2 linked regions of the Nothobranchius furzeri genome follow. The protein of the gene in region 1 purifies or fractionates together with the protein of each later gene. This does not show direct contact. Links are inferred from orthologs where the notes say so. Each region holds a gene or a part of one and is shown on either strand. Other genes may lie near its edges. The genes, in order: katnip and cilk1.

What was found.
Region 2: the proteins of katnip (region 1) and cilk1 purify together in Homo sapiens (affinity purification with mass spectrometry; 3 studies listed by BioGRID and IntAct, with this or other methods). This does not show direct contact. The link is inferred for Nothobranchius furzeri from reciprocal best matches to the Homo sapiens genes KATNIP and CILK1.

Annotation. Positions count from the first base shown.
Region 1 is NC_091756.1:31,629,786-31,638,914, forward strand, and holds the start of katnip (katanin-interacting protein), read left to right. Parts: upstream 1-3,827; 5' UTR 3,828-4,054; coding exon 4,055-4,097; intron 4,098-4,409; coding exon 4,410-4,504; intron 4,505-6,016; coding exon 6,017-6,105; intron 6,106-6,368; coding exon 6,369-6,544; intron 6,545-6,901; coding exon 6,902-7,014; intron 7,015-7,105; coding exon 7,106-7,207; intron 7,208-7,345; coding exon 7,346-7,495; intron 7,496-7,690; coding exon 7,691-7,931; intron 7,932-8,049; coding exon 8,050-8,181; intron 8,182-8,351; coding exon 8,352-8,488; intron 8,489-9,129. Other genes in the region: dcun1d3 (DCN1-like protein 3), read left to right, coding at 1,182-1,728. UniProt on the Homo sapiens protein: May influence the stability of microtubules (MT), possibly through interaction with the MT-severing katanin complex.
Region 2 is NC_091752.1:23,719,263-23,726,390, forward strand, and holds the end of cilk1 (serine/threonine-protein kinase ICK), read left to right. Parts: 5' UTR 1-145; coding exon 146-246; intron 247-403; coding exon 404-458; intron 459-1,275; coding exon 1,276-1,397; intron 1,398-1,488; coding exon 1,489-1,568; intron 1,569-2,263; coding exon 2,264-2,396; intron 2,397-3,246; coding exon 3,247-3,418; intron 3,419-3,541; coding exon 3,542-3,709; intron 3,710-3,785; coding exon 3,786-4,160; intron 4,161-4,249; coding exon 4,250-4,458; intron 4,459-4,535; coding exon 4,536-4,678; intron 4,679-4,749; coding exon 4,750-4,866; intron 4,867-5,539; coding exon 5,540-5,641; intron 5,642-5,723; coding exon 5,724-5,875; 3' UTR 5,876-6,127; downstream 6,128-7,128.

The sequences.
Region 1 (9,129 bases):
AGAAGCCTGTTAATTACCTGCAGATTGAAATCAGGTGTGCTGAAGCAGAGTTAAAACCAAAACCTGCAGGATACCGGCCCTCCAGGACCAGGATTGGGCACCCCTCCTTCGTCAACTCACACTGATTGGTTGTAACTCTGTAGGAAATTACATCATCAGACGTCGTCCAAAACAACTGGCATTAGTAAGATTAGAAGAGCTGCTTGTGAAGCAGAATGGAAGCAAAAGAAAAGAAGCTCCGACTGATGATATAGTTCACTGGGCTTTTTTGTCTCGCATCGCAGCGTAAAAAAACCAAGCTTCTTCTGTTTTTTACCTCACGCAGCTGCTCTCATCCTCTGAATGGATTAAATTAGGTTGTACTTTGACAGAGTAAAACTTTTAATGTTACTGAGGATGCTTTTTGGAGCTGATCAATGACATCACTGACTGCAAAATAAGTTGCGATATGCTGACGCCTGTGCAAAGTCCTGAAAGAGCTAAATCTGCATGGAGACACAACACCTGGGAGGACCGGGACATCTTATCTCCCGGTCAGTTTCCCCCTCCCAGAATTTACCCTGAAGTTCCGACAATGGAAAAACACCGTAGGTTAAACACACCTCGGTACTTGCACAGCAACAAAACCTTTGGCCACTCCTCTTATCCAAAAATTGTTTTCCCATAACTCTAAAATCAAGTCTTTCCACACACTGCCCTTTGGATCTGCGTGAGAACCAGTTTATCGTTCCCTCTAATCTTAAATGTTTGCTAACTTGTTCATAGAAAGCTAGCCGTACACACAAAACCCCACAGTCAGGTCATACAGGAAGTGTGTCCTGCTCCAGAGCCCCATTCTGCCTGCTGTCACTGAATAGCGCTCCGTTTGTGGCTGAGTCATTTGTTTCTGCTCCCCCCCACTCTCTTTGATTTTAAACTCTGCACTTTTCACTCCGAAGTGTTTGGACAATGCAACATATGTTTCATTGTTAAGCAATGCTGGCGTAAGCATTTTGTATGACACTTGATGTTGAAAATCCCAGACCGCTGTTGAAGTTGAGCAGATAAGCTCATCTACTTGATATTTTTAAACACCACTGGGCAAGTTTGGTTTTGCAGATCTCACAGAACTGCTGTAAATGACATTTTACTGTAATTCTGAATACCCATTGTGACATCTGATCCTGTTTTTATGTCATCAGGAAAGAGTTTGTTGAGGGCTGCAAGGCCATCAGGGCGGACAGTATTGAGGGCATCTGCTCACGCTTCACTTACATGCTGCTGGAAGCCCAGGTTGAAGAGAACTTCAAGGACCTTTACCGTTTCACCTTCCAGTTCGGTCTGGACGCCGAAGAGGGCCAACGGTCGCTTCAGCGGGAAATTGCCATCGCACTATGGCGACTGGTTTTCACACAAGACACTCCGGAGATTCTGGAACGCTGGCTGGAGTTTCTAGCCGAGAACCCCTCCGGTATTCGGGGCATCTCCAGGGACACGTGGAACATGTTCCTCAACTTCACCCAGGCCATTGGGTCTGACCTCAGCAACTACAGTGAGGACGAGGCCTGGCCCAGCCTCTTTGACACTTTTGTGGAGTGGGAGTTGGAGCGCAGGAAAAGAGAGGAGGAGCAGGCACTGAAGGCAAAGGAGGAAGAAGGAGGGAGGTGTACGGAGACGGATTGTCCTCCTACCACAGATAGACTTGAAACTGAGGGGAGCCGTGGCTCACAGACATGGGGGGGGCACTGACCAGAAACCATATTTGCTCTCGGGGGAGAGGATATGCTCTATATGTGAACTGTACATGTGGGAATCATTGGATGAATATTAGTATTATCATTTCAGTTATTCAGTTATCTCTCCTGGTATGTTGGGATGGGATTACTGCTATGCTTTATTTTGTTGAAAGGGCTCTATGAACTGTTGTTTTAAGCACTTCTATTTAAGTTATTGGTTTACTTTTCCCCCATCCATTGCGTTTTAAGAATGTGGTTGATGTTTATATATATATATATATATATATATATATATATATATACATACATACATACACCTACCTACCACAACCCATCAGAGTTAGCTCAGTGAATGGGCAGCAGAAAGCCGTGAGCAGATTTAATCTTGAAACATGGTAGATATAATTTGTTCAAGGGGGTCGTTTCTAATGAAGAAGGGAAATCATGTCTTAACTACCTTTTTAAAATCAATTCAAAGTGACAAAAATGAGATGGTGAATCAGTGAGTGGATGGTTTTATGTGTCCGTGTAGCAAGGGTGAGTTTATCATGATTGGCCCACAGATAGTAGGAAAAGGACATTATAATTCAGTCATAGGGGCATTTAAAAAAATACAAATTACAGTTACTTTGGCATACTTTTATCAGTTTGAGTACTTTTAAATCCCAGTTGGTTGTTCTTGTCTCCAGTATTCAGTGTTCTTTGACTTTTGAGTGCTACCTGAACAGTGAGCAGCTTCTGTGCTTTCCCATGACCCGCCAACACATTCTCACACCCAAGGCGTCAAAATACGACGCGTGTGACCAAGCCTCAATATATGACGATTCGGGACGCCCCAGCATGTCAGGAGACTATGATCAGGGACAAACAACTGACGCAGCGTCCCAGAGCGTCGGTGTCCGACGCCGGTGGTGAGACGGACATTAGAAGTACTTGTGAACTACTTAACCTTCCCCTCACCCCAGTCCTAACCTTAAGGTCACAGTTTATGGGCCTTAAGATTAGGATCGGGGTGACGGGAAGGTTAAATAGTCGAATAACGTCCGTGTGACAGCGCGCGTCAAACAGTGACGCCAGCGGAGCCACGTGACCCAGCGTGTCCCTGATCGTCGTCTCCTGACGCACTGGGGCGTCCCGAATCGTCATATATTGAGACTTGGTCACACACGTCATATTATGACGCCTTGGGTGTGAGAATGTGTTGCTCCCGCAACATCTACCATTTTCATGTCCGCCTTCTTTCAACAAACAGTTTTAATGTATGCAACTGAATGAGGTTGGCTTTTCTCAGCTGCCTCGTTCATTTTAATAATGGAATTTTGTATCAAAAATTTGGGTAATTGTTACAGAGGGATGCCTAAACTGCATTAAGCCTGGGCACCTCACAGAGCTTTTGTTGTACTGCAGGAGTTTTAGTCTTTACGTCCTTCGACTGCTAGACACTCAAAATATGTGTGCACACGTCACAAATAATGCAAGTACTGCTGCTGGCAATGGTTGCAATGAATTGCACAGAAACTAATGGCATGCTAATTTGCTGTACTTGGAATGCTTTGCCGAGATTGTTGTTAACCACAATATTACCATTTGAAGCGTATCCAAATTGTAGATTGATCATTATAAGCAAGGGTGTTTTGGAATGAGCTAGTTAGTCCTGCTGGTTAGTCAACAGACTGTGACTTGGGTTGAATGGAAGTGGGTGGCCACTATCTAATTAAACATCTAAAATGGTTTTATTTCATCCCCTTTTATTTTGTTTTTATAAGAAATGTACTGATTTATAATAAATAAAAACAGTGTTGATTTTTTTTGCCATGGAAACCTGTGTGCCTTTATTGTATTTTTCGCACCTTTTTTTTTTTTAATTGAATGGTGAGTTAGAGGGCATAGGTATGTCCGGATGGGGCGTGTCCTTCGCTGCCTCAGCTCTCCTGATTGGTGGAGAGCTCCCCTGGTTACCGAGCAACACAACTCACAGGAGGAAATCCTCCAACATTGGGTAAATCCATCGGTAAATACGATTTTTTTTACACACTAATAATGCAACTCTTTAGGAGTACTGTAAGTATGTCTTGTAATTTGTGAAAAAATGTACATATGAGTAACGTCACTATTTTTCATTACATATGTAAACATCTAGTCACGTAAAACGGATGCATGCTAACTCATTAGCGTATCGGTTTGTTGTTAGCTTTAGCGCGAGGTTGCTAATGTTGCATTGGCTACAACGCGAGCTAGATTAGCCTCTAGCAACACTTTGCGGGTTTAAAGAAGGAAAAAGGACACGATAAAGAAAAAGCCCATCGGCCCATCTCCAGCGATCAACGTGCTAGCTTTTAATGACAAAATCAAATGCCAGGCGCTGTCTTACGCTAACTGCACGTATGTTCACTGGGTTTATTTCGTAATTCAAATGTTTGCTCGTCATTTATCTTTTCTTCCACCAAGTAGCACCTAATTTCTTTGTGATTCTCGCACATATGACAATAAAACCCTTCTGATTCTGATGTTTAAAGGTGCACTTGCTAACAAATGGGGGTTTGTGGAAAAACCTTGAACAGATGTGCTACACGAGATGATGTCATGTAATCACAACCTGGTGCTGCGATGTTTTTGTCGGGTGTGGCGAAATTAAACAAGTCCTTTAAGATGTGTCAAGCAATCTTGAAGCTGCGTTTGTGTGTCATGCTGCAGAGAGGATCAAACTCAACTGGGAGTCACATAATCTCTCTTCAAAAGATGGGATAGTGTTTTCAGATGAGTCCCTGCAGCACGCCATGGAGAAAAAAGTAAGAGATGAGTTTCATGTAACGGCCTCTGTCAGCAGTGCTTTTCATGTCATACCTCATTCCATAAAATCCACTATTGAAAGGATTAAGTGATTCCACATGATGTGTCTCAGGGATCTATCACTAACCAGCATTTTCCTGCTTCTTCACATCTTTCTCTCTTCTCTGCTCCTGAAACTGACATCCTAGTTGACTTGTAAATACTTCAGTAAGAGCTTTGTAATTTCTTTTTATTTATTTGTCACGCATGAATACAGATGAAACTCTAAAACAAGAATATGGTGCAAAATTAATTTATTTTAGTATTTTGCTTTAGACTGAGAGACCATGTAAAGGCTCAGGAACCCTTTGCACGTGTTTTGGATTGATCATCTGATTAGAGTGTGGCACTTTATTGAACCTTTTCACAATATTCTAATTGTCTGAGATTTTGAATGTAGGGTTTTCATCAGCTGTAATCCATTATCATCACAGTTATAACAAATAAAGGTGTGAAATGTCTGGCTTTGCACATAATGAGTCCACCTCACTTCACCTTTAAAGCATAAATGAACATTTGCACTATATTCTAAATTTTTCGAGTTTCACCTGTACTGAAAGTAATGGAACTGCACGAGTGGCTGCATTGTACAGACGACTGATGCTCCTTTTAAAGAGGCTTGTGTTTTGTACGCTCAGATGCATCTGGAGGGATAATGACTGATGATTATTTTAATTTAGCATTGTATGCAAATTGCATAATGATACATCAAGTTCATCTAAATGATTACACAATCTGGTTACCTTAGTTTAGGTGTGTTGATGTACACATAAACACACATGATTTTCATTCTGACATTTGTCAACAATCATTTTATGGATTTAGTTGCGAAGCTGCACCAACACTTTTCTGGTTTGGAGTCAAATCACAAAGACCACATTTGTCTATCTAGAGATAAATTACTGCAGGAAACAGAAGTTGTAGTTCAAATTACTGCACAGTCACTGCTTAACCTAAGTAGCACATAACAGGGCTATATTACAACAAAAAGGCTCAGTTGAAAAATAAACAAGTATTGATGGTTGAGAAAAAGCAGTTGTGGCTTGGATTTATTTAATTTTTTTTCATTCATACATAGATTTTGTGATATTTCTAACAAACGTGACAACTTGTCACTTTACATAACTTTAACTGAAGCTTTGTTTACACATCTAGAGGAGCATTTTGCATGCATGAATGTTGTGGTGCGTAGAATTATGTTGGTATAGGTTGTAAATACATTTGTGTGTTCATTAGGAAGTTTCTTTCCTCTATGCTTTCCTGACTCTGTGTGTGTGTGTGTGTGTGTGTGTGTGTGTGTGTGTGTGTGTGTGTGTGTGTGTGTGTGTGTGTGTGTGTGTGTGTGTGTGTGTGTGTGTGTGTGTGTGTGTGTGTGTGTGTGTGTGTGTGTGTGTGTGTGTGTGTGTGTGTGTGTGTGTGTGTGTGTGTGTGTGTGTGTGTGTGTGTGTGTGTGTGCGCGCGCGCGTGTGAAGGAGAGTGAGACGTACCGAGGAGAGAAGCCTGCCTCTGCCGGAGATGACACTCTGGATGAATATTTAATTGACCTCCAGCACAAAAACAGGTGACGTGTGTGTGAGCACAGGCTGCTGCAGATGGACTGATTGGATTTCACAGAGGAAATGCATCACAGTTTTGTTTTCTAACAGTTTGAAGCTCTGTTTAGTTTGGTGCTTTTGTTTAGAGGAAAAACACGTTTTTATTTAAAATAGTAAAAGCATACATTTGAAAATGTTTGGTTGAATTTAGCGAAAACATTTTTAGACTTTTCTTCATCAGATACAGCATATAGCATTATTTATTTACATTTTCATTTATGCTTTGCAGAATCCTAAAGCGCCTCAGAGTGAAAAATCCAAGAGAGATCGAATTGGAGCAGCTGGAGCAAGGCTTCTCAATTTATCTGAACGGCGCTAATGCTGAGTCCAGTAGGAAGCAGCTCAAGAACCCCAAAAACAAGCCAGAGGCCCCTCAGCCAGCCGGGAGGCCTGCACGCACAGCCGGTATGCAGCTAGGCGAGTGTAAATGTTTGCTCCTATGTAAGACCTTGATTATACTTTCATTAGTTATTTATGAGCTTGTGCTTTGGGATTGTGCTAAAAGCTGCAGGTCCCTCTGTCGTGTGTAAAGCATATGGAGCATGAGCTAATTGCCACCGCTCTGCTGCTTGTTTTGTGTGAGTCCATGCCCGGTCTCAGTGATTAAACAATAGTGACAGTTGTAGCTGCCAGCTTTCTTCTGGTGCTTCCTTTATGTGCTGTGGACCATCTGCATGTACGAGTTTAGTGTTTTCTCTCCTCTGAGGCTATAGTCTGCAGCGAGTTGCTCATGTTCCTTTCTGTGCTGTGACTCATCCTCAGATTTCTGGATAAGCGCCCACCATCTAACTGAAGATAGCCGTAATCCGGATCAGTCGGGCAGGAAGAGGAGCCAGACTGCTCCAGCAAAGGTCCAGAGGAAAGAATGGGTGCAGGTAAAGAGCTTTGATGTCTTAATTTGTTGTTTTATATAAAAATACATATAAGTGCATGTAGTAACAATATCTTCTTATCTGATGTGTGCAGGGTTGTGTTAAAATTCAAACCGAGCATGGCCCAAGTTTGGAAATATCTCCAGCGACGTGCTACTCTGACGATTTTGAGGCTTATGAAAGTGTGAACATGGAGGTAGAGTGACAATTCCTGCCAAGACACTGTGTGTGGGTTTTGTCGTTTTAGGGGAGGAGCTGTGTGTCACACGCAACTCTCCTAACACCTCTCTGTCTCTCCCCTTTCCTTATTTCTCTTTCTCCATGTTTGCTACAGCGCTCTAGTCTGCGCTCGCCATGTAGTCCTCGGAGTCAAAGAGACGCCTGCAGGGTTTCTCGCTCCTTCAGCTCCAGAGCTGAGTGCCAGGAAGACCAGGGCAACCAGGAGCACAGCGAGAAGGTGCTCCTCAACCTCGAGGAAGTGAAGGTGAGAGGAAAACCACCCATGACCTTAAGATTTGGTGAGTTTCACATGTTACTGTGATGCTGCCTGGTGTTAAGTGATGATTTCAGATCTACTCACAGAGGTCAGGGAAATCCCTACACTCATGTCCCCTCTCTTGTGTATTTGCGCCTGTGTGAGCACTGATGCATGAATAAAAACTGTCTCTTTGTATGCTAGGTGTTGCGTCGGAGCCTGGAGGTTAGCATGCGACGGAGCAGCAGCGGCTCAGCAGGGGAGGAGTCCGACGAGGAGTGGGTAGAGGAGCAGATTGAGAGGGATGAGAGCACCGAGAGTCTGGATGAACTTGGGCTGCCTCTTTCCTCCTCCAAGTCCTCCACTCATTCTCGGACAGGCGGGAGTCACGGCCATTTTGACTCCGCAAACCTCATTGTTCTGGACTTTGGCCCCTCACCTAAAGGTAGTCTTTAAGGATCTTCTCCTCAACATTGACTAAACTAAGCAATCATACCAGCTGTTCGACAGCTATAGGTCTAATGTCTGGTTTTATTAGCGAACGCGTCCTCTATCTGCTGCAGGTCGTAAACTTGAACGTTCTCTGTCTGCCAAGAGGAATGAAAGTGTTGACCCCTTCATACCCACTAAGCCTCTGTTGGTCAAGAGCAAAACATTAGATAGGCCTCCTTCTAAAGACAGCTGGGATGATCAGAGTGAGTCATTTCACCTTTTAAAGTGTCTCTTTATGCTTAAATTAAAGAGATTATTCTTCCCGATTCTGATTTTCCAGGTCTGAATAGGTCTTCTTTTACAATCCTGTTATAAAAAGGTAAATGTACAGTTTTTGCTTCATATAACAGGTTTTTTGTTATTTTTGTTTAAGGGCCGTGGAGTCGCACGGAAAGGCTCGTTTCGTCATCCAGAAAGACTTCTGTTGATGAGCGAGACCCTGAAGAGGTGGCGTTCAGTGTGTGCCAAGCCATACAGAGAGAGAACACCCCAGTGAAGAGCCCTGATCTCGTGAGCCGCAGCACGCTCTGCCTCCTGATTATTCCCGTTTCCTCGTTTAGCTAGCAGCCAATGCTTTAACTTCACCATTTGCAGGTGTTTGATAAGTAGGTAAAGTTTTATAGCACCTATTACAGAAAGAAAAAGGTGCGTCACAATGAAAATTACATCAAAATTCAAACATAAGGCTTTAAATGTTCAGTAATATAGGGAGGAGCATTGAAAGTTCTTGTCAGGATTCTAAAATGAACTCTAAAGTTAACGGGTAACCAGTGCAGAGACATTAGAATGGGAGTGATGTTTGCACCAGTTTGGAGCCTCGCTGCAGAGTTCTGGACCAACTGAAGGCGGTCAAGGGCTTTTTTGTTAAAACGTGAAAAGTGTGTTACAGTAATCTAGACAGGAGGAGATAAAGGCATGGATAACCATTTCAAGTTCATGTTTTGACACCAACCATCACAGTTTGGAAACGTTTCTCACGTGATTAGAACCGTTTTGGACCAGCGTTGGTAGTGGGAGAAATTATGAAATGACTTAATTTTCTGTCTAAGAGGGTATATGTTTAAAAACAGGGTACCCCAAAACAGAGCCTTGGGGTACCTCACAGAACAGATCCGTAGAATCGGACATGATTTGGTTTTTACTGAGTTTGA
Region 2 (7,128 bases), on another chromosome or scaffold:
CACCATGAGTCCTCCAGCTCAGCCCACGGTCTTCTGCATTTGTCACAGGAAAATCTGGTTGCACTCAGCAGTAGGAGCTGAACACGTCCATTTTTCCTCCTAATTCTTGTCTTGCCTTGAGGAAAAATATGAGAGGACATGCACAATGAATAGATACAACACCATCAGGCAGCTCGGGGATGGCACCTATGGATCGGTCAGCCTCGGCCGCAGTCTGGAGTCAGGAGAGCTGGTTGCTATAAAGAAGTGAGTATTTGGCAACTTCCTCATTTTTTAAGAGCTTGTGATCTGTGCAGCATTGTGTGCTGACTTTCTAATTTACCTAATGACATGTAGAAGAGATGCTGTGCAGCAACATGAAGCAATGATTAGAGGTAATTCAATAGAAATCTGTATTTTCCAGAATGAAACGAAAGTTCTACTCTTGGGAAGAATGCATGAACCTTCGAGAAGTCAAGGTAAGTTTCACCAGTCATATGAGAAAATAAACCAGACAAAACAAAAATGTTACCCGTATCATTAACCTTGGTTTTACCATAAACGGTACAAATTTACCTGTCACAATCAGTGGTGCTGCCAGAGAAATTTCTAGGGGTGGCAATGCCCCCCAGCCACCGTTTGTGGGCACCACTAATCAAGAGTGTTGATGGGCATCGCTTTAGTCATTATTTTAATTTATGAACTTAATTCATCATGAAATATACAAATGCTGATTTGTGTGTGATGTTATTAGTTGACAAATAATTCAGTACATTTTTCCCCATACCAGTTTAATATGTTACTGTTCAGATTTCCTCCCACCAGCACACAGAGCAGAAGGTGATTCTTGTTTTTATTTTAGCTCCTGGTCCACATGACCACCTGATCCTTTCTTTGTAGAGCTTGGTCTTATTGTAGCAAAACATAAACATGCTGAGGGTCCTGCTGAGTAGTTCACAATTACAGCATGTCACTGTTGGCTCTCAAAGCCTTTTTTCAGCTTCTCCCTTTTGACTAAAACTGTAGCATGGTTGAACATTCATCATCCCGGTGCATCCCGCTACCTTTTCAATTTTCAAGAGCAAATCCCTCTTTTGCAGCATTTTCCCCCCAATAAACTTCACTATTTTCTTGAATTTACCCAAGAAATAATGGTATGGATAGCTGTAGGTAGAGCGTGCCTTTGAATGTGACCTGTTTGCTCTCCCTCCAGCATGGTCAAGATTCAATTATTTACTCCCGCCTTTACTTCCTGTTTGTACATTTCTTACACAACCTGTTTCTTTATTCTTTCAGTCACTAAAGAAACTCAATCATGCAAATGTGATCAAACTAAAGGAGGTCATTCGAGAAAATGATCACTTGTACTTTATATTTGAGTACATGAAGGAGAACTTATACCAGCTAATGAAAGATAGGTGTGTACATTTTGGCGTTTTTGCACAATTTATGCACATTTGAGGAAAAAGCTCGATGTTTTCTAAATTGTTTTCTCTTTTCTTGCTCTAGAGCACGTTTGTTTCCTGAATCTGCCATCAGAAATATTATGTTTCAGATCCTGCAGGGACTCGCATTTATCCACAAACATGGTGCGGATGCTTCTCAGTCGTGGTACGACTAATGGGCTCGACACACGGGAGGCGACAAACGACCGCGATCAGCGAAATTTGTCGCTGTCGCTTTTATTACCTGTCACACGGGAGGCGATCCGCGGCAGCGGCCAGCGGCAAAGCCGTCTACGCGTTCTGTTCCATGACGAAATCCAAACTTCCGTTGTTTTGTTTGGCTGTGTCAGGTTGGAGGGAATTAAGGTTATTTAAGCGGTTCAGAGTTAATAAAGTGGTAGATATGATGTTTCACAAGGTGCTGCTAGAGTTATGTGAAATCTTACTTCTGATTTTACTATAAAACATAATAATAATCAACTTCTCCTCCATGTTTGCTCGGAGAAGTGCGGAGCATCCTGTCCGCTCATTGGTCAGTGAATGAAACCTCCGTTGATTGGTCCTCGCCCAAGCGACAGCGATGAAAAGTTGAAAATGTTTCAACTTTCTGGGATCGCGTTGCTGGGTCGCACGTGCACGACACGTGCACGAGTGCAAACTTTCACACGCACGTTTTTCGCGTTTCGCTTGGTGGGAGGGAGACCCGCGATTATCGCTTTGTCGCGCATGTCTCATTGAAAATGAATGGAGGAGAGGCGATGTCGCCTCCCGTGTGTCGAGCCCATAACGGTTAGTCCCATCGGAGTGAGGAGGATGATGATGTATTGTGTCTCCACCAGGGTTTTTCCACAGGGACATGAAACCGGAGAATCTTCTGTGCATGGGTCCAGAGCTGGTGAAGATAGCCGACTTTGGACTCGCCCGCGAGATCAGATCTCGACCACCGTACACAGACTACGTCTCAACTAGATGGTGAGTTGTAAATGGCCTGTATTTGTATAGCGCCTTCTTAGGGGTCTACAACCCCCCAAGGCGCTTCACAACACAATCAGTCATCCACACACATTCACACGCTGGTGGGGATAAGCTACGATGTAGCCACAGCTCAGCTGACCTGGGGCGCATTGAGAGAGTTGAGTCTGCCGTACGCAGGCACCACCGGTCCCTCCGACCACCTCCAGCAGGCAAGGCGGGTTAAGTGTCTTGCCCAAGGACACAACAGCATTCTATGGTGGGAGCCGAGATCAAACCTGCAACCTTCCTATTATTGGACAACCCTCTCTAGCTCCTGAGCTCCTGTTGTAAACATAACGCATACCTGTGGAGGACTTTCACTGCCAAAATAGACAATAAATAAATACATTAAGAAATAGTACAAATAAACACATGAAGAAATACCAATGGAAATAAGTAAATAAAAATTTTGGGGGGAATAAATCAATAAATGAGGAAATAAAATTGTGAATAAATGAATGTGGAAATAAAAATGGACAAATAATATATGAGGAAAGAGTTAAATTAAATATTAAACAAATTAATGTGGCAATAATTGAAAAGATTAAATATAAGAGGAAATAACAGTGAAAATAAATAAATGCATTTCTAAATAAAAATAAAAAAACTGAAAAATATTAATTTTAAGAAATAAATCTATCAATTAGGAAAGAAGGAAATAAAGTTGTATCCTAAATTAATGAAATAAATTTTGTTTTTAATAAATATATTTGGAAATAAATACACATTATTTACTGTTAGGGCAGGAAGAGTCCTTCATACGTACCTGCTTTAGCTCAAATGAAAGGATGTTTTGTTTCTGGACCAGGTACAGAGCTCCAGAGGTGCTGCTCAGATCCACATCCTACAACTCGCCCATAGACCAGTGGGCAGTCGGCTGCATCATGGCGGAGCTTTACACGCTCAGGCCTCTTTTCCCCGGATCAAGCGAAGTTGACACCATATTCAAGATTTGCCAAGTCCTGGGGACACCAAAGAAGGTGGTGATACGATCAATGAAATAAAATAAAAAACAAGAAAAGTGACAACATTCAAGCAAGTTTATAAGTTGAACTCTGTTAAAAGTGGAATAAAACGTTCTTCAAACGTTTTTCTCCTTTTAGAATGATTGGGCCGAGGGATACCAGCTGGCGAGTGCCATGAATTTTCGCTGGCCTCAGTGCGTTCCCAATAATCTGAAGACATTGATCCCAAATGCCAGTCCTGACGCCATCCATCTGATGATGGACCTGCTTCAGTGGGATCCCAAGAAGAGACCAGCCTCTGCTCAGGTAGCATCCATACTGCTCTCACGTCCAGGCAGACTCAATAAAAGCTAACTCTGCTTGCTCTAATCGTTTTTTAAAGGCTCTCAGGTACTCCTACTTCCACGTGGGCCAGGCTTTGGGAACTCCTCAGCAGATCCTGGATCAGGGCAGACCTCAGCTCGGCCTCGTGCATCTGCAGACGCCCTTACAGACGCAGCAGCAGCAGCCTCTGCTGTTGAAGCCAGTGCCCCCCTCCCAGCCTCCGCCTTCTAACCAGCACAGCCCTCCCTCCAGGCCGCTCCATCAGATCCAGACCTCCCCTGCACCAGCAGCTGCCCAGCCGGCAGCTTACCAGCGGCACACGGAGCTGGTTCGGGAGCAGCAGCAGCCAAAGCACATCCTGAAACAGGAGCAGATGGAGGGAACCCCTCAGCGCCGTCTCCCTTACATCGTAGACAAGGGCCACCAGGAAAAGGTGTGGAAACCTTTCACGTTTTTATGGAAGGAAGCCTTTTGGGATATTCTGAGCTTGTCTAACACCCGTGGTTGATGTTTGTTTTGTAGCAAACGCAGCAGGATGTACACAATTTAAGCCTGCTTGGCTATCAGCTGAAGCCTAAAGGAGGGCGGCGGCGTTGGGGACATGCAGCTGGACACGTTAAAGGAGAAGACTGGGACAACTACGAGGAGACTGATCCGTACTCCATCAGTATCCTTGGAAAACCTAACTTCTCATCAGAGAAGTCGAGACAAGGAGACGACTCTCTGAGCAGGTGATGCTACTGATCACTCGGGTTATGTACGAAGTGTTTAAAAAACATAAATCTACGACTGGTTTGCTTCTCTGCAGGTTTGGAACTGTTCTGGATTTCAGTCGACGCAGCGGAAAAGAAGATGCACCTTTAAACCTGAACAAGACCGCAGCCTATCAAGAGCCATCAAGAACGGCCTCTGCCAAGCAGCATTACCTGAGGCAGTCCAGATATCTACCTGGTATTATACGCTTCTTTTTTATTTGTGATTTTAATAAATATTGGTCAGTAATCTCTTCTTGTCTCCTTCAGGCATCAGTACTAAGAAGAACGTAGCCATGAATGCCAGTAAAGAATTCCCAGGAAGCCATTATTGTGGCAGCAGCAGTATTCCGTTTGGAGGGACCCTGCCAAGCAGAGGAGCTCATGGTAACATCGTTGTAACCATTACCTTGCTTTTCTACCGGGTGCGTAATGTGGCGCGTAGTGTAAGCAGAGCGTGATGATGTCTTCCCCACAAACTCAGCAGCACGCACATTCCCACCGGGAGCATTTCAGGTATGAAACTGCAGCGAATGCTTTCCACGCTGTTGGTCCTGCAAGGTCACAAAATCACCAGAGAATTGCAAGACCGTTCAGGACTTTGGCAGTTCACGCTATAACGAGCAAAGAGAAGGACGGCGCAATGTATCAATGTGATTTATTATCTGTTCTGTTTACAGGTAATGATGTAGTTTTTTTTTTTCATTATTCAGAGACTGGAAATCTGCACACTTTTATTTAGAAATTTTAAGGATGTTTTACACTGCTTCTGTGTTTGACTTCCTGTCTCTTCCGAACTGGAAGCGCAGCACCTTACTCTGAGTGAATTTAGCGAAGCTGAACGTCACACTTCTGGGATGCATCCAAAACACGACGTGACGCTTCGCAGGCGGGGGAAACGGACCCATTAACTCTAACGGTGGCTAATTGCTGCGCACTACCTTTCGAGAACGTTAAGCAACATTAACACATCCGTGGAAAGGCCCGGTTACGACATATCACGGTCAGCAAGATTCAACCCAACATTTTAATTTAATTTTATTTTATTTTTGCTCATCAGGCACAAATACGATCCCAGGTGATTACATGCCATCATTTTACAAGAAAGACAACGGCTCAGTTGGTCACAGCAGAGGCCGTCAGGGTGTTTCCATGGAAACAAGTGAGCTCTAATATCTGTTTTTGCTTCTGTCTGATGACCCTTCACAAACTGTTTCCCTACACTTATTTATTTATTTTTTTAGATTATGCAACTTGGCGGTCTGGCCGGAGCCACATGAACCCATCGGCCGGCGTGCCGACAGCCAACAAGAGCAGCTCCAGTCTGCTGCCTCGCCCGCCGCTACAGACCATTCATGGACGAACAGACTGGTCAGCCAAATACGGACACCGCTAGCGGCTATTTGTATTCTTACAAACTCTCTCACTTCCAAAGAGTAGTTGTTTTTAAATTCTGATCTGTACATAAATGCTCTACAGCAATACGTTTGGTTTATTGTGTGTATTATGGATGCTGTGTGATGTAAAATATTGGATTGTGAATGCAGCCCCTCAGTGTTTCTGTATTATACATATATATATATGGAGAGGTTTCACCTCACTTTTGTATTGTTTACCCACTTATATGCATAAACGATATAAAACCTCACTGATTTATTTTTGACAGATTATTTGTACACCTCTATCAGTCACTGCCCTTATTTCTCACTTGTTTGTGTAGCGAAATGTAACCAAGTGTTTTTATATCTGAGAACTTGGTTAAATCCAAGTGGTTGCCACATTGTTCATTATTTTACGTTGCAGATTTAGCAGTAAAACGATGCATCTGAACCCCTCGAGGCTGAACTGAGGGGGATTATTGCGTTACTGGTTGTCATAATTAAACATTTTACCTGATAACGATGCAATTAAATGTTCAATTGCAAAATAGTTTTAAACCATCAAAGTTAGATCTTTTAGTCAAATCATTTGCTGTTTAACCAGTAACAATCAGATAGAGCTCTTTAGAGCTTATCATGCATCATAAAACTCAATCAAATGCACCAAGGTTACACATAAAACAAGTGCATTGTTTATTAATTTTTTTAACACGCCAAAGTAATGGCCAGTGGGACTGATCAGAAAAATGTCTGGTGATAATAATTACATCATCTTTCTGGAGTCCTGGGTCTATTTGGTGACATGACAGTGATTTTGTTCTAAAAGTAAAACATGAAAACTTTTTGGTTGGTTGGCTAGCAAAAAGATATTGACCTTTATGGAAGTTTTTGGACAAAACAACATTACAGTAAAGCTATGCTTCCCAAACGGGGCAAAAGACATGCTGAGAAGTCCGCTGTGTCCCTTAAACAAAGACAGACATGAGCTGTGTTGCTTTTGGAGACTGACTGTGATATTGCATCCTGCTCTGCTGTATCTGTTCTGGTGCAGCTCAAGCCCGGCAGCGCTGTGTGTGTGTGTGTGTGTGTGTGTGTGTGTGTGTGTGTGTGTGTGTGTGTGTGTGTGCGTGCTCCTCAGAGAGAGACTTTAGACGGCTCCCTCTAATGGTAGGCATGAATTTGAGCTGGCCAATCAGTCAGCAGTGGGTGCCTTGGACGACTTCAGTCCGAAGCAGACCGCCTTGGGAAGAGGGCTGAAAAAATGACCGGT